Oryzias latipes: one gene and its partners. The protein of the gene in region 1 purifies or fractionates together with the protein of each later gene. This does not show direct contact. Links are inferred from orthologs where the notes say so. Each region holds a gene or a part of one and is shown on either strand. Other genes may lie near its edges. The genes, in order: fxr1, g3bp1, tdrd3, cep63 and orc2.

Region 1 (4,000 bases):
CATAGGTCAACCGCCCTACCACTGGACCACAGTCGCCATTAACGCCACATGAATGGTGAGATTTTGGGCAAAGTCGTCCTTCCATCAACATCATAATTGACTATTAAATATATCTGGATCCATCGGCCTGTCAATGCCAAACACGTGGCCCAGGCAATAAAGGAGTGGCTATGTAAAAAGTATCTCAACGTTCTGGAGTGGGTTAGTCCAATAGACCCAACCCAATACAGAATCTTTGGAATGAGTTGAAAGTCTTTGTTGCACAGTGACAGCCCCAGAACATCACAGCTCTTGAGAAGATCTACACTGACAAAATGTGTATAAATATCAGCTACAGTGCTTACCAACCTGCAGAAGACCTACAGGAAACATTTGATATCCATCATTGATAACAGGATTACAAAAAGCATTGAGGTGAACTTATGACTTTTCTCATCTTTTTAAGAGGGACAACTTGCTCCCAACTACCAAATAAGTTTTTGCCTCACTGTACATAGTCCAAACTTCTGAGAACAGTCCTCCCATTTGTTAAAAATATCCTTACCAGAAACCCAGTTCAGTATACCTATTGGAAATGACAAGCTGACATTGAATCACTAGCTTAACATTTATCTTGTGTTATGTATGGGTTAACAGACTTATCCAACTGTTATTTCATGAGTGGTCAATGATTCCCCTTATGGTCATGTAATGATCAGGTGTGGTGCAGTTCCAGCTCCTATAGCAGAACTTACCATGAACTTTTGTTCAAAAATAGTTTCATTTTTTTCCTTGCCTTTCTTTATGCTAATCAGCATCTGTTTTTATATTATTATTAGATTATCATAGAAAATGCAACAGATATGTATGTTTCCTCTAGATTCAAAACTTAGCTTTATAAAGTGGTTTTAAGCATTTGCCTAAACCATGATGTGCAGACACTATCTAGATCTTCCAGTAAAGAAAAGTAATAAACCATAGGGTAGACCGAAGGGTTTCGTTGAAGTGAAAAAAATGTAACAAGCTGTTTATCCCCTTAATCTTCACATTTTACTATCAGAGAAGACATTTACAGGCTCACAAAAACTACAAATGCCATAAAGTTACATAGAGACTTCTAAATTTTAACTTAGGATAAAAGGACATCAGTTAAACAAAAAAACGCAAGAAATATCCGAACAAAGTAATAATGGTAAACCTTAAATTCTGAATAAAATCTATTTATGACCCTTCTCACTGTTTTGACTTGTTCAGATTAACATCAATGTTACCAATCAGCTTCCCTACAATATCCAGGTAAAGAGTAAACACGTTTCTAATTTCTTTTTTTTAGTCTAACTGACAATCAAAGGCACATGGAGATGCTCAGAGGGTGCTTGATGGGACTTCAAGATATTTAAATTTACCCAAATGTCCCTCTTCCTTTGTTAGTTTGCTTAATATTTTGAAGGCATGATAAAACTCAAGAAAGTAACTGTTGCATGCTCACTCTTCTATCATTACATAGTTAACTCTGGGCTGGGTCTAAATAAACTTGAATTTGTCCCGACTCAAATGAATCTAAAAGTCATTTAAAAAAACACTTTAAAATGATATAATGGGACCACTACTTCACTTTTTTTCCACTTACTGTTTACAGACTAACACCACAACTTACAATCTATCGCTTATGTTTTCACTTCTTTCTTTTCAGAGTTCAGAAAGTCCCTACACAAGTATAAAAGGAGTCGAGTTACAATTAAATAAATAAATAAATAAAAAACTTGTTTTGCAACATCTATAGTGAAATCAAAACCCATTCTAATTATTATTCCTAGGAGATATTTGGAATCACAGTAACAAAACTCACAAAACATACCCACAGTTGCTTGGTTTAGCTGTAATTTACTCAAGTGAAACTATTTTAGCATGTAGTGTTGGTTTACAAAGTGGCCTGGCAAAAAGAAAACATGTTAAACATTATGCTAGTAGTAGTAAGAAATTAAAATAGTAGATGGGGGGGAAAGGATGATGAAAAAGGAGACATGGAAGGAAGAAAAGGGGAGACTTTGGTGCCACTTCAGATTGCAGGACTATAAATACACTGTAATTCTTTGAAATGAGCGACCCTCTCCCAGCATGCCAGCTGCTCAGGATTGACAAGGAACAGCTGACTCGCATACGCAGAAATAGTAAAGATAGCTTGGGCATGATACAGTCTCAGTGAATGAACAGTGGCAGACAAGTGTGAAGAAGTACGCCACGTGCATAGAAAACCTAACGTCGAGATTTCAAATCCCTAATATGTACATTTAACAAACTCATCACGTCCTTATGTTCCATGGAGTAAAAAGCCCTTTAGCAACCGAACTAGGGCAAGAACCTACCTGACGTCAACAGAATTACCAGTGAGCTAGTAAGCTAACTTTAGCTTACGAAAACCCGAAGAAAAAGTCCATTGTGTGTTAAAAGATACACTATAAAACAAGTCAGCTGTCTTACAAAACGGATTATGCTTTCTGGATTTGATTATAGTCAATATAATAATCATAAATAACGAATGTTCACAATCATCGACGTTAGCCTAGCCTGCTAATTTTGGCTAACTCTGCTAAAGGCTTACAGCAAGCAGCTGGATGAATTTAGAGGAAGATGGGACACGTAATCAAGTCCAATGAACTTAGGTTATCATAGTAAACAATTTGTGAAAGACAGAAGGTCAAAGGTGCACGGATGCCCCGGTATTTACCTTGTAATAAGCGCCGCGAGAGCCACGGACCTCCACCGCCAGTTCTTCCATATTGGATACGCAAAGGATGCTGGGTCGACAGGTGTTCCATCAAGCCTGAGGTTTGAAGTTTGGGCCAACACCTGTCCTTTCGCGTTTTTGTGGGCAGATACTCCCAACTTTAAAATTATTAACTTACAGCCAAATTACATTTTTGGGTTACTGTTTGTGAAAAGGATCAACAAGGTTTTGGACGATTTGTTGTCCTGTTTTTTTTTTTTGTTTGTTTGTTTTTTAATGTTAGAAAGCTACATTGCTGTGTTTTATTTAAGTAATTTTAGTGATGAAGCAATACAATAAAATAGATCTATTATTTAGTGTGAAATTTTATGCAGATTGTAATATAGCTAGATATAAAAAAAATTTTTTTAAAGCCATTATTGGACTAGCTAATTTGCTTAAGTATTTAGTATTTTGAAATTTTGTATTTCTTTTCACCTACACTCATCAGGATCCAAATCTTTAATACAACAGAATGATGTGGTTCAGTCTAGTATCTTGCATTAAAAAAAGGCTGTAAACACAGCAGGCTTACAGCTTTGATCAGCATCAACTGCACTAAAGAATACTAGAACACAGACTGGAAATTTGATCAATTCTTTATTGTGTGCTTTCTGATTTCAGCTTAGAGACTGTGCATTATAAACAGTGGTGAACAAAATTGTTGGTACCCCTCAGTTAAAGAAAGAAAGCCCACAATGCTCACTGAAATGACTTGAAACGTTCAAAAGTAACAATATATTAAAATTTGTTGAAAATTAAATAATCAAAATCAGCCATTGCTTTTGAGTCGTTGATTAATAGAATTATTTAAAAAAACAAACTAATGAAATAAGGCTGGACAAAAATGATCGTACCCATAACTCGATATTTTGTTGCACAACCTTTTGAGGCAATCACTGCAATTAAACAGTTTCTGCATTTGTCAATGAGCCTTCTGGACCTGTCCACAGGTATTTTGGCCCACTCCTCATGAGCAAAGTGCTCCAGTTGTCTCAGGTTTGACGGGTGTCTTCTCCAAATGGCATGTTTCAGCTCCTTCCACAGATGTTCAATGGGATTCAGGTCTGGGCTCATAAAACCATCTCTAAGCAGCTTGAAGTTCCTGTGACGACAGTGGCACATATTATTCAGAAGTTTAAGACCCACGGGACAGTAGCCAACCTCCCTGGACGTGGCCGGAAGAGGAAAATTGAAGACTAATTGAGGAGACGGATAGTTGGAACTGTATCCAAAGAGCCCAGAACAACCTCC
Region 2 (4,069 bases), on another chromosome or scaffold:
GAACAGAAGGGAGCGTCTGAGCTGCGGTGGTTATCCAGGCGGGGGGGAGCCCCACAGCCCTCCCCAGCGACCAATGAACCTCTAAAAAGAATCTCATGGTTCACAGCTGATGTCTGCCACGCCCACAAGAACCAACGGCAGCATGGGGGCAACAAGCGTTGGGTGGACAAAGCGAGCGTGAAATGGAAAGTTAAACAACTGCTGCAAAATGACTCATCTTTAGCTAATGTTTCTGTTGCTCTGGCGACAACTTACAAAACCCTAATCAACCAAATGTGGGGAAACTTCTGAAAAAAGGTGCAACACGAGCTTCCCACTCAAATGTAGTAGAGAATTTCAAACAAACCTTTATTAGCAAAGGTAGCAGAACAAAAGAATTTCATCGCTGACGTTCATCCAGAGTGATCAATGTCACACCAACCGAAACCTGTGACTGAGTGAGCGACGGTTCTGAAGTCACTTCGGATCCAGGAAACGGCTCCAGGTCCACAACACGAGGGGGAAACCCCCCCCCAGATGTTTCAGATTGTGTATTTGGACGCCATGGCAACCGTTGAATAGAAAATAAGAAAAATGTTTAAGTATTGCAGATGAGGCATTTATTCTTGTTTACGCGAGCATTAGCCATGATTTCCCAGGAAGGGGACGAGTGCAGTAACAATGCCCCCCCCCCCCCCCCCCCCCGTCTGATGTGGAATGAGGTTAGAGACCATCCTCCAGCATCATGCAACCAGCAGCCGCAGTCTGAATCAGCAAATTTCAACACCAAAGAGAGAAATCCTCCTCTGTAGAAAAAGCCTATAAATGTAATACATGTGTACCAGATAGCAGAAATGTGTCGTTATTTTCTCACTAAAAGAAAAGTGTCACCAGAATTTCTACATGTTATGGAGGATGGACCAGGATCTTTCAAATGGGATCCCAAAACCACAAACCAAAGAAGCCTGCTTTCATGGGTGGGGGCGTGGCCTTCCAACAAGCTCACTCCTGATTGGAGTCAGACTGCAGGCCTTAAGGGCCGTTATCCAGCAGGTTTTTCAGAAATCAGGTGTGTTTAGCCAATAAGGAGCTTCAATTTCAAGTTGATGGGAAGACATGTGGGACACAGGCCAACGAGGCCTGGAGTCTGACACTTAGAGTGGTTGCCATAGAAACACCGATCAATTCAGATCAACTCTACGTCTGCCTCCAACATGGCGCCGTCCGTTTCACAAAAAGACAACAAGAAGGCGACTGGAATTCCTTCAATGGGTTTGAGCCAGAAGTGAACCTTCCTGCCTCTCCATAATCAGAGGACGATCAGTTTGCATTTACACTGAAGTGAACCACACCAGAGTTCATCTGCAAGTGGATTAGATCATCTTGCCCTGATGAAACCGGATTCTCTAATTGAACAGTTCTTTGGGTTTAATACATCCCCACTTGAACCTGGAAGCGCTTTCACGATTCTACAGGGTTTGACCCCCCCGGCAGTGACGGGTTCTTCCGGGTTTCCAGGATATTCCTGATGTTTTGCACATGGCCATGATCCTGGATCAGGAGGGATCAGCCAATCAGAAGATGTTGATCTTCTATTCTGTCAAGTGGGTTTCACGGACAAACCAGGAGGGACGGTTCAGGGAGCAGACGTGCCGCCACAGACGCACATTCTTCTCTTCCCACTTCAGTTCAGCACCATAAAGCGGATCTGGGTTCAAATACACCAGAGGTTCTGCTGACAGAACCGGAAACTGTTGGCTTGGAGGACCTGGAAGGGAAAGGTGAAGCTCTGAGCCCAGAAGGCCACGAGCCACTTTGACATCTGTTCTCACGGCCAACAGCCATCTGCCATTTTTAACACGGAACGGCCCGGGAGCTCCCGCAGTCACGCGGGTCTGATCCGCGAGGGGCCTAACATAGACGGGACCAATCATTTAACGTGCTTCCGCAGAAGTGCGTGGAGATCTGCACGCGCGGCCCGCAGACAAAGACCACGCCGCGGGAACGGCGACGGAAACGGCCGACCCGCGCGCTCTCTTTCCGGGACCGCGCTGACACGCGCCCCCGAGGCCTTGACAAATTTAACCGGGATTCACGTGTCGTGCGCTGTCCTGGTCCATTCCGATCTAATCCGGGACAGCTGGACGGGCCCACCAACCCCAAAAGACGAATTCTGACGGGGGGGGGGGGGGGGGGGGGGGGCGCTCAGCAGCCCCAGCACGTGTCCCGGGCGGTGCTCGTCCACGCTCCGATCCCGACGCCGAGGCCACAAAATGACGCTTTTAACATCCAAAGACGCGTAGAAACGAAGCTAACTCTGTTTAGGGAAAAGGTGAATTTACCCCACGAAAAATAAGGAAAGAAAGCTGGAAAAACCAGAGGGGGGGGGGGGTGTGCTAACGAGGGCTGCGGCTAATTCCTGCAGCTCAGAGTAAAACCAAGCCGTCGTGGGTGATTTGTAACAGCAACAATTTCATACATATGTCGGAAAAAACCCATTCCGGACTTCTGATCGCGATTAAAAAGCAAGTATAAACGTTTAAATCGGATTTCAGCGCGTCCGTCTATAGACCGCGCGACAATGTCAAAGGAAGCTAACATCAGGATGTAGATGGAGCCCGGATGAGCCACCACGTTAATCCTATTTTCATTCTAGTTTCACTTTCTGCCTGGATTCAAACAGTAGGTTTGACATTAAAACTTACCAATGAGTCAATAGTTTTTGGAAAATGTATAAATATATTTTTTAATCTATGGACTTCGACGAGGCGCTGGCGCGGCTTCGCGGCGTGCTGTAGAGCCCGGGTACCGGTTTCACCTCCGCAGCCAAATCTGACGTCCCTCCGTATAAAGAAGCTTCAGCCAATGAAATGACGCATCCACGACCCGCTGACCAATGGGGTGAGAGAATGGCAAGCCTCCCGCGCATCCAGCCAATCGCGAAGCTCCCTCTATTCCAAGGGAGCCAACCACCGCGCGGCGGTGGCAGAGGGTGCGATGGTTATACCGACAGGCGTATCCCGGCAGATTCTCTACACAGATGTGCACCAGCGGCTGTCCACCGCGTGGAGGCGACAAATGCGTTCAGAATCAGTGATTTTAGGTCGCCGTGAATTTTTCATCCAGAATTATCCACCGTCATCAATCAAAGGGGTTCGAATGCGAGAGTGCTTTAGCTTTAAAATAAGCAGGTGGGTAAATGTAACGCCATTGAGACTGAAATGACTGCAGACAGTCAGAGCAGACTGGAAAAATGTCTGCTCCTGTAGTGCACTAAAGAAAAACGTGTAGTGCACTAAAGAAAAAGAAAAGTTCATCTTTTTAGTCATCTTTTAAAAAGACAAACTAAACACATAGAGCTACTGATCCCATGACTAAACTGCTGCAGATGTTTGAGCCTCAAACCACAATATGGCTGTCATGATGTCAGCACAGAGACATCAGCTTAAAAAAAAAAAAGAGCTGATATTAAATTACAGATGTCTTCCGTTGTTTCCTCTGTCAGAGTCAGGGGGAGTTTTTCCTGCTGGGGCACGCTGGGTTCACGCCGCTGTGCATTCTTGCTGCTGAGGGCTGGATGAGCAGGTACAGATGGTAACTGGGTGCTGCGTCTCTCCCTCTGCCGTCTCCCAGGGGACCACGAGCAGCTGTGAGCGGTCGCTGCCGGATGCCGTTTGCTCTGAGAGGACTGCATGTTCGGCACAGGTTTGCTGCAGCCCTAAAAGGTTACTTTTCCCACTGTTTGGAAGACGTTTTAAACATTTATACTCTTCAAATGATGGGGGAAAAACACACATGGGGTTTATTTGTGAAAACGAATAAAACCTGGAGTGTTGGGTCTTGAATGGGGGAAGGAATGCCGGAGCTCCTAACATTGAAGGTTAGACTGGTTGAGATGTTGCACAGCTCCTACAGACAGCAAACAGAATCAGGCAGCACTCAGACGCAGATGATGGATGTGGTGGCTTTGGCTTAAATGCTGAACCGTCTGCAGATAATTGAAGCTGGTGGTAAATTTAAAAAAAGAGGCTGGGAAATGTGCAAACAACGGTTTCAGTTTAACAGATAAGATGGAGGCTGACAGACACGA
Region 3 (3,518 bases), on another chromosome or scaffold:
GTTCAAAGCTATGTAAGCCCAAATGAAATAAAAAGAGCAATGATTGCTAAAATTAGATATTGTCTTTTAAGCCAAAAAAAAAACAATCTCACCCTTTGGAGCTCCCATTTCTCCACCATGTGCTCAACTTCTCCTCCAAGGACTAAGATGTTTGAATCTTCAAGAAGCAAACAACCATTTTTAACCTGGACTGTACCAAGAAGCTTCACCTTTGTTCCGGGGGGTGTATTCAGACTGAAAAGGACAACAAAACAATGCTTAAATAAGACATGTTTTAGCAAAGCAACACAAACTCTTTTTAAAGCGTGATTCTCACACATTAAAAAAACGGCAAAAACATCCCATTGCCTTCCTGATAGCACTTTCTAAATGACATGAGGCATGAAGCTCTGTCAGCAGATGGGTGGCACGGCTAGAAGAGACCATTAATAATCCCAGCTGCTCCCCCATCCTCATGGTAAATTAAAAGCGCCTCTATCTCATCAGGCCTGATAAGGCCTCTGCCTGTCTCATTAGGAAACCACTGAGACTTAGAGGGATTTCCAGATCCTGATGCAGGAAGCCAAAGGAACAATTACAGATTTTGCTCTTAACCTTTGGGATAGAAAGTGTTCTCTTGATGGAGGCAAGTGCAGAAATGAGACACTGGTTGTTGTTTTTCTCTCAACTACAGACAAACATGCTATTCAACTTGCAACCTAATAGTTGACTTTCTTCAAGTCCTTCATCCCCTTTTCCACGCGCTTACAGACACTTTAAGCAATAAACACAAACCACTGTTGTTGGCTGCCAGTGTGTGTGAGTCTGTGTGTGTGCGCCGCTCATAAAGAGGGGATTTGTTCGGTTTTCTCCTCTCATCCCAGCAGGAAGTCAACACCCACATTCTGGCCACTCCACCTGTACAGGCTGGAGAGAGTCACCATGGCAGCCATCACCAAGGCCACCACTGCTTGGATGGAGATGTAATTAAGGCCGGGAGCAGCTAGATCAGCTGCCACTACGTGGAAATTGCAGATAAAGGGAAAACAATCCAGGCGTGTGGTGCGGTGAGAGCGCTGACAGGGTGTCAGAGCAGAGTGTGCTCGCAATTAGCACGCTAGCTCTAAATATAAAAGCTGGCTAAATGCCCCAGGATCTGCGTACCAAACATCATGCCGTTTATTTAGCAATTAGCCATTTGTAGAATAAGTATGATTTTTAACCCTTTTAACCAGTGATGACTGCCCTGACAGCTGCATTTAACTGTACTCCTCGTTTGTTCAAATATGCAGCATACCTAATCTTGGACAGATGTTTAAACTCCAATCCGACACAGGTGGTGTGCCCATCTGTCATCTGTAGGCGCAGCATCCGCGGTGCACCCTGGGACTCCTCGTTGTCTTTGGGGGCTGAGATGTTTCTCACCTTTTGTACCTGGAGAACACATGGGCCCTCCAGCTAGCCATGTGCAACAGACAAAGAAGGATCGATTATAAAGCAGACACGCCAGCAACACAAGTTACAAGGAAGCCGAATACAGTAGAAAATGGATAACATTTTTACCTTTTTCAATAAAAATAGTATGTTTGTATACGTTACCCTTAGCGTTTGCCTGTTAAACTATTTCGTTACCTATCAGTGCAGAATTACTGCCTTAAGCCATGATTTTTTTATTATTTTTAAGTTTGTGCTCACATAAAAACAAAGTCGAATAAGCGTGCAAAGCAATTCCAGGATAAAGAAAACAAAACTAATCATAATTTGTTGTGTTTTAAGATGACCACCTTCAGTTTTAGTAAAAGGTCCACCATTTTTTTCATGATCATTTGGCAGAGTGTCATCACCATCTAGTGGTGATCCTGAGAACTACAGCTTAACACAGTTTTCATTTTCTGCAAGATTTCTTTCTTCCTACCTTCTCTGTTTTTCCACTGTTGATATCAGATGGTAAAATCTTGCTTCCGATAGGCCTAAGATCCGTCTGCAAGGGAATAACAACAGTATAACAAAAATGCACGAACAAAACATTATATTTCAATTTGTGGATATTAACAGTTCTTGAAAATTGACACTAAATTGAAGGAAGGAGTTCTGAGTAGATTTAACCAAACCAATCATTCTCATTCAAGCTTCTTACAGTTTTTCACTTAAATAATTACATGAGATACTTTGAAAGAAATTCTCACATATGCAATTTTGAGCTTAATTTTCTTAATATCTAACCTATATATTTAGAAAAATGCCAAAGGAATGTGTTAAAAATATCAAGAATGCTGAAATACAATATAAATATCATAGTCATTTCACCCCCCACAGCCGGCAATGTATGCAAAATGTATAATTTAATTAAGTAAATAATCGCACCGATTCTACTAGAAAACATCAATCTAGTTTTTGTTTTTTGCTTTAGTTTAATCAGCTGTCATTTATTTGCTAAATCAGTCAACTGATGAAAGGCAAACGTGTGTGTGCACATGGATTCTTTTCCATCATGCCTGAGTGACAGAGTGCAGAGCGAACGTGAAGCTCTCATCATCATCATCATCATCATCATCATCACCACCAACATAATGCTGCTCTGCATGAGCTGTCACTTGGGGGAAGTATTCCTGTCACTTCTTCATGTGACAGAACAAGCCAGTACATTTGAGAAGAGCAGAACCAAGGAGAACCGGGATCCATTAATGACACTCCAGAACATCATTATTGATGAGATCACACTAACAAGAAACCCTTACGTTTTGATATTTCAGCACGAAACGCCACCAATTCCTTAAAGCCCTCAGTTTAATTAAGCATTTAAAGGGAGAAGTAGTTTGCTGACTCAACATCTCAACTAAACACACACAACCCAAAGGCCGGACGTAGATATATTGGGGAGCAGATGCAGCGCACTGCAGTGAGTCGGACGGCCTGCAGCGTTTTCAGACATCTCCTTCTTGATCCGCGGGAGGCACAGCATGAATGATTGACTAACTTCCTCTGTCACATTAAAGCGCCTTTGTTCACAGAAAGTTCAAGTCAATCCATGTCCACTAAAGGCTGTACATTCAGACTTTTTAATCTAATTACTGATAATCTAGTGAAAAGAAAAAGACATCAGGTAAATAAGCAGCTTCGTCACTAATAATTCAACCTCTACCTTGGGTTTTGATCTCTTCAGGCAGGCTGCACATGACTATGTAGAGAGCTTTAAAGGAAATTGTTATGTCAATTATTTTATTATGTCATTACAATGTAAAAAGTATGAAACTGCAGCATTAAAATGTTTTTAATATACATTATTAGAGAAAAGAAGCTGGAGTTCAGTAAATTTCATTTCTGAATGCAAACCAATGTAAGCAGATGAACATCAAGAATGTCAGGAATGAAATTGGATATTCATTTCATAGGGACTCTCATGTTATAAACGTTTTAAGAAGGGGCCAAAACGGGATGCAGTGCCCAAGGACACTAAAGCCGAAGGGAGGGATCAATACAGAAACTTTCTGACTGAAAGACGATAACACTTCCTTCTGAACAACGTCCACACACCCCCA
Region 4 (3,518 bases), about 16 Mb from region 1:
AGTCCTGCACAGAAAAGCTGGGGGGCTTCAGTGGGGGGGGTAGCAACAGGAAGGATGGAGGCTCTCCTGAAAGCTCTGATCCATGCAGCATCCTGAGAGCTTTCAGAAGCTAAAGTTTGTTCTTTTCGTGAGCAAAATGCCAGAATCTGCCGTTTGGCTACACCATGTCTTCTCTAAGCCCTTAAAGACTACGAGAACAGTTCTTCAAATCACCATGGAAACCAGCGAACCACGAGGAGCATCCAGGTTCTTTAGATCACATTTAGAAGTTTCTTTTTCTGACAGAAACGTCATGGCTTGCACATTTCTTCCTCCTGAAGAGATGATGTGAGAATGAAATAAACTGAAGCGTTTATGTCATTTTGCTGTTCTGCAGTGAAGATGGCGTTCCTGAAAGCGTTCCCCAGGAGGCCCTCGTGTCGAGACATGATTTCCGCCTCTGTCAGAATGTTGCCCCCCTGTCATTAGACAGGGGTCCGCTCGCTGGACGTCTGCTCCCACTCCGGCCTGACGCCACGGTCCACGTACTTGGACACGGTTCTGTGGTTGATCTCCCTCATTCCCAGGATGTGGGCGTCCAGCCTCTGCAGCAGCTCCTTGGACCTGAAGCTCTCCTCCTCCAGGAAATGTGACAGTGTGCCGTGTGACGAAAGCTCCTGAGGGGCAAAAACCTGTGAGGATCCTAAAAACACCAGAGCTGGTTCAACATTCTGAGAAGTCTCACCTCTGAAGTAGGAGACAGAGTTCTTCTTTCTCTAGATGCTGAGCTTAGACAGTTTCCAGGACTTATGCTTTGCCTGTCTTCAACAAATTCACCAGGACTTGATGACGGGATTGAGATTCTTCTAGTCAGTCCAGCACTGGTGCTGCTGGAGGAGGAGGAGGAGGAGGAGGAGGAAGCAGGAGGCCTGTAGTCTTGGTCCTGGCTGCAGTGCTGCTCTCTGGGGGACATAGATAAAGCATGCAGCTCTTTAAAAAGCCTCTGGATCTCCCCCTCACGGTGAGTGGTGCATTCTGGGGCCTCGGCTCTCACGGCCTGCGTGTCTATCTGAAGCCTGGGAGAACAGGGTTTGTTAGTCTGGAGCTGTGAGTAGACATCATCGACGGCCATCTCCCACCTGGCAGGAGCAGCCAAGCACGTCTGCTCCGAGGCATGATGCCGAGGGTCCGTTTGTTCCGACTGTCCATCCTCCTCTTCAGGCCTGCCTCTGGAGGCCGTGTGCTTCTCCCCCAGTGAAGCTGCTGGGGCCTCTCCCCTCTGAGGATACAGAAGTGCACATTTACGACTGGATCACCGGAGACGCTCCAGAGACGCTGTCCTCTGCGTCGGGGACGCCTGAACCATGCGACCTTTGGTGAAGAAGGCTGCCGTCTCTGCAGCAGGTCACGAAGATGCTGGTTCTCCTTCTGCAGAGTCTCCAGCTGGGTCCAAGTCATCTGACAAACGGATATAGAAAATGTGAGGAGAAACCATCCAATGTCTGAGCAACCCAGACCCAGATCAAGAGAAATGCTTCATGCAAGAAGCAACTTCCTGCTCAGGAACAAACTGAGACGTCATTGCTGCACAGCAGTCAGAGGTCAAGCTCACTCTGAGCTCTGCTCGCTCCCCGCTCAGCGTGGCGATCCTCAGATCACGCTGGTGCAGCTCGCCGGTCATCTTTGCAACCTCCGCCCTCATCCCCTCAACCTCAGCGGCGTGGGTCTGCCTGGCCAGTTCAAGCTCCTCCCTCAGCTGCAGTGGACGACAGTGAGGTAAACAGGCATGACGGCCACAGATGAACAACAAACAGGTTTAGCTTGACTGAGACTTTGGACCTTTTTCATTTCAGCAACTGAAGAGTCAACCTGTGCTTTGAGGCCGGCCACTTCCTGCTCCGTCTCTGAGCGATCAGCTCTGCCTCTGCTCACAGCCTGCAGCCTGCAGGAACAACTCAGATGAATAATGTGAAGAAAACAGCAGCCAGACAACACGTGTCTGATTCCAGACGTCTGCTTCACTGTAAAGACGGTTTGTCAGCAGCTTTGTCCATGCTGGATGTCTGCGGTGCTGAGAGTGAACATCCAGAAGTCAGCAGCGTGGAGGTTTCCATGATGGGCTGCACAAAATCCTCATCTGCTCCAAAAGAATCTGACAGAAACCTCATTTCAACAGCTGGTTTAGCTGCTTCTAGAAAGAGCAAAAATCCACTGGTCTTGGTTTTCTCTCTAAACGGATAACTTCTTCCTGGATCCGGATGTAAAGAGGATTTCACCGGAACTTTTTCCTCATTTCCAGAAGTCTTTGTGTTTTTTGTAGAAACCATCTGCAGTCCAGGTGGACACGGTGGAGTCGGCAGTACTGGCAGCATTTACCTCTCTCTGGTGCGTTTAAGCTCCGCCTTGAGGTGAGCCTCGCAGGCCCGGGAACACTGCAGCTGGACTGCAGACTTCTCCAGATCTCCTCTGAGGTTTTCCACTCCAGCCAGGCCCTGAGCCGACAGGCAGTCCTCCAGAGAGCTGACACACAAAAGCCCAGCAACCGTTACCAACATGGAGCCGTTCTACCGAGTCAGACGACTGTTTCTAGAGAACGCTGTGCACACTTTGAAAAAGAAGTACAACATTTTGACATGTCTGTTTTAAATCCAACTTCTCTTTCATTTGAATATTACATCATTTAGAAGAATGTCAGGAAAACCCAGACGGCTCTGCAATGAGAACAATCACTGAGGAGCAGCTTTTCTTCTTTCCCTTCACTTCATTCATGTTCTGTAAACGTAGATCAGTGATCGTCTGTGATCGCCACCAACCTTCCTGTGGCAGCAGTGATGTCATCAGCACAAGACGAGGAGTTTATTAACAATACAAAACATTTAGGGTGTGTGGAGAAAACAGAACAACTCATGTTATACGCCAGCAAAAGTATCCAGATACAGAAAGAAAGTTTAGTTTTCTGATTCTGCTGACAGTTTTTTTTAACTCCCGATAGTCGGCTGCTAGTCAGCTGCTAGTCGGCTGCTAGTCAGCTGCTAGTCAGCTGCTAGTCAGCTGCTAGTCAGCTGCTAGTCAGCTGCTAGTCAGCTGCTAGTTAGCTGCTAGTTAGCTGCTAGTTAGCCTTCTTTCGCTGCTCATTTTGTTTTGTTCCATCCTTCTCTTTTTTTTCATAGATAAGTGGCATTCCTGCTGCTCCCTTCTGGGTCTGAAACGATCTGCGGTGCATTGTTTACTCGATCAGCTGTTGTTGCCTAGCAACGGCAAAATGTGTCTGGAGATCCCCGTTATTATGATCTGCTTTTTCTCTACAGAGCTATGGTTACAAGAGAATTTCCCCGTTCTGGGATCAGGAACATTCTAAAAAGTTCTTTTCCATTTTAGTCTCATAACTGAGTTTCAGAACACTTATCGATGTATCGATGTTTCGTGACTTCATGTTTACGCCTGTGACCCCGTGACCTACTTTTGACAGAAAAGTCGTATTCAAGCCAGACGTGTTAAACGTAAAACTAAATGTAATACGATTTTTTTGCAAAGTTGGG
Region 5 (2,377 bases), on another chromosome or scaffold:
AACCAGAGAAAAACCAACAATGAGAAGGGTAGCTGCTATTAGCATCGCTGCAGTAAAACTCATCGTGCTGATGTTACATGAAGTTTTATTCTAACTAGCGCCATCTTTGCATTTTCAGACTCACACAGTGGATGCGATTCTGCTCCTGCTGAGGGATCTGGATGAAGAGGAGCTTCGGATCGTTCACACAGCCACGCTGAACAGGCTGCAGACCTACACACTGGGCTCAGGAGAGGCTCAGCCACTCACAGCCCACACAGAAACGCACTAGAACTCACGATAACGGCATGCATTCAGCTCCAAAACGCATTGGAATGTAAAACTCAGGACTTTGAAACAGAAAATGTGCACAGGATGACATTCCTCAGCTTTTCTATAATAGAATTTTAACTTTTATTTCTGCATGTGTACCTAGCCTTATGGGAAAAAATTATGCATGTTTTTTTCAAAATGTATACATTTATTTCTGTAATTAAAGAGGAAAAATAACAGCAATAAAATTACCTATAAATTGAGCTTTTATTTATCTGAATTAATTAGTTTACAAAGTGAAAAGTGGTGGTACTAAATCCTTGACATCATTTAAGCTTGTTCCGATGGACTTAAGCTTCTGTCCACAGATCAGATCCTCAGTCCCCCTCCTCGTTCTCCAGGAAGTCCATCAAAGTGCTGGCATCCACAGCGACAGTCAGGTACTCTACTCCATCTGCGCCCTGGAGGATGATGTCACCGAGGTCAGAAAAGCGATGTACTATGAGAGTTCAGAAGACCTATGAAAAGGAGTTCACCTTGCGTGTCCTGATCAGTTTATGGTCCCTGAACTCGGTCAGCTGAGTCCTCAAAGTCAGATCAGAGTTCACCAGGAACGCCTCTCGACAACGCTGGTAGAAATCTTGGAAGGAAAATCCTGCACACACCACAAAAAATGTATTTCAAATGCAATTTAGGAAGAAAACAGTTTTTAATATACTCTTTTTTTAAACACCTGTATACAAAGGGTTGTCTTTGTTTTCCAGTTGAAACTTTACGAGCAGTCTGAAGATTCCTCTGTAAAGAGAAGGGACATGAAGACACAAAGCCAAAAGAAGCCCCCAAACTGGTTTGAGGTGTGAACATTGTATAGAGAAATAAACAGCTATTAATCAGTCATTCTATTTGTTAGAATTAACATTATTGATCTGGTACTTTTTTTTATGTAGTTCATGTTATTCAGTTAATAAACTGGCCAATCAGATGCCTCATTAAAGGTATGTGGTCTCAACGTCAAATGTTCAAAATCCTATATTGACAGATTCACCCAAACCAACTTTCGAGTGGTAGGGGCGTGGCCTTCCAACAAGCTCACTCCTATATGGTGAGAGTGGTTGCCATAGAAACTTGGATTCCAATCGCTGCTTACTGATGTCATCTGGCTTCAATATGGTGGTGCCCATATCAGGAAAAAAGGGTGACCGTATATTGTTGTGGGCAGTACCGTGCGTTGGGCGTCAGGCTGCGCAGCACATGTGTGAGGGAAGACAGAGCCAGAGCGCCGGTCTGCTGCACCAGAAGAGAGTTTTCGTACGACGTCTCCTCTGCGTAGGGCTGGAACGTCACACACTCCCACCACAGCCAGTTAAACTGGCTCACCTTAAACTGGTCCCACACTAGAAGACAGAAAACGTTGAGCTACCATGACTTTTTATTGTGCGGGGTTACTCCAACAGCATGAGTCCTTACAAGCACCCACCTAAAGGAGCATTGATGTGGTCTAAAGAAGCCACCAGGTGCAAGTTGGACAGGGACGCCAGCTGCCCCAGTGCACTCTGGGTCTTTTCTCCTCGTAACATTGGTCCATCGATGTTGTGAATTAGCAAATACAAGTGAAGATCTGGACCTGTGAATACACATCAGTGTAGTTAAAAAATTTTTTGAAAAAAAGAGTTAAAGACCCACTCCGATCATCTTTTGAGCTATTTTCAGTGTTCCCAGTAGTTCCCCCCCCCCCCCAAAGAATTTAAATTTTGATTATGGGTTTTTAGCTAAAATCCAAAACCTGTGTTGTTTACTAGAACATAGTTTCTGAAGAGCGGAAGAAGTTCTTTAGAATTTCACCTCTGAGTTGTGGGTGAGACTGTTGGCATACCAACCCCGCCCCCCTTCACCTACCCATTATGCTGAGAGCTCAGAGAACAGGGGCTTGTGGCCCGCCCAGCGTATTTTTCATGCCACAAATAAGCTTTTCTTCTGATTCACAACAATTTAAATGAAAAAAATACAATGCAATTTTAAGCCTAATTTTCTTTATATATGTCCTCCATCATGAGAAAAATGCCACAAGAACATGTTAAAAACATCGGAGTGGGGGTTTCTTTAGGCACCAGATCGAGATGATTCC

What was found.
Region 2: the proteins of fxr1 (region 1) and g3bp1 purify together in Homo sapiens (affinity purification with mass spectrometry; 3 studies listed by BioGRID and IntAct, with this or other methods). This does not show direct contact. The link is inferred for Oryzias latipes from reciprocal best matches to the Homo sapiens genes FXR1 and G3BP1.
Region 3: the proteins of fxr1 (region 1) and tdrd3 purify together in Homo sapiens (affinity purification with mass spectrometry; 3 studies listed by BioGRID and IntAct, with this or other methods). This does not show direct contact. The link is inferred for Oryzias latipes from reciprocal best matches to the Homo sapiens genes FXR1 and TDRD3.
Region 4: the proteins of fxr1 (region 1) and cep63 purify together in Homo sapiens (co-immunoprecipitation; 3 studies listed by BioGRID and IntAct, with this or other methods). This does not show direct contact. The link is inferred for Oryzias latipes from reciprocal best matches to the Homo sapiens genes FXR1 and CEP63.
Region 5: the proteins of fxr1 (region 1) and orc2 purify together in Homo sapiens (affinity purification with mass spectrometry; 4 studies listed by BioGRID and IntAct, with this or other methods). This does not show direct contact. The link is inferred for Oryzias latipes from reciprocal best matches to the Homo sapiens genes FXR1 and ORC2.

Annotation. Positions count from the first base shown.
Region 1 is NC_019862.2:18,754,732-18,758,731, forward strand, and holds the start of fxr1 (fragile X mental retardation syndrome-related protein 1), read right to left. Parts: upstream 2,803-4,000; 5' UTR 2,759-2,802; coding exon 2,708-2,758; intron 1-2,707. UniProt on the Homo sapiens protein: mRNA-binding protein that acts as a regulator of mRNAs translation and/or stability, and which is required for various processes, such as neurogenesis, muscle development and spermatogenesis.
Region 2 is NC_019868.2:28,987,380-28,991,448, reverse strand, and holds the start of g3bp1 (ras GTPase-activating protein-binding protein 1), read right to left. Parts: upstream 2,812-4,069; 5' UTR 2,685-2,811; intron 1-2,684. UniProt on the Homo sapiens protein: Protein involved in various processes, such as stress granule formation and innate immunity. Plays an essential role in stress granule formation.
Region 3 is NC_019861.2:15,652,711-15,656,228, forward strand, and holds part of tdrd3 (tudor domain-containing protein 3), read right to left. Parts: intron 1,961-3,518; coding exon 1,895-1,960; intron 1,438-1,894; coding exon 1,277-1,437; intron 235-1,276; coding exon 93-234; intron 1-92. UniProt on the Homo sapiens protein: Scaffolding protein that specifically recognizes and binds dimethylarginine-containing proteins. Plays a role in the regulation of translation of target mRNAs by binding Arg/Gly-rich motifs (GAR) in dimethylarginine-containing proteins.
Region 4 is NC_019862.2:2,679,610-2,683,127, forward strand, and holds part of cep63 (centrosomal protein of 63 kDa), read right to left. Parts: intron 2,500-3,518; coding exon 2,356-2,499; intron 1,922-2,355; coding exon 1,819-1,921; intron 1,736-1,818; coding exon 1,592-1,735; intron 1,438-1,591; coding exon 1,351-1,437; intron 1,259-1,350; coding exon 1,119-1,258; intron 1,056-1,118; coding exon 725-1,055; intron 657-724; coding exon 465-656; 3' UTR 1-464. UniProt on the Homo sapiens protein: Required for normal spindle assembly.
Region 5 is NC_019875.2:17,269,204-17,271,580, forward strand, and holds the end of orc2 (origin recognition complex subunit 2), read right to left. Parts: intron 1,877-2,377; coding exon 1,730-1,876; intron 1,647-1,729; coding exon 1,475-1,646; intron 1,048-1,474; coding exon 986-1,047; intron 908-985; coding exon 789-907; intron 714-788; coding exon 630-713; 3' UTR 501-629; downstream 1-500. Other genes in the region: c17h21orf2 (protein C21orf2), read left to right, coding at 1-28, 119-271. UniProt on the Homo sapiens protein: Component of the origin recognition complex (ORC) that binds origins of replication. DNA-binding is ATP-dependent. The specific DNA sequences that define origins of replication have not been identified yet.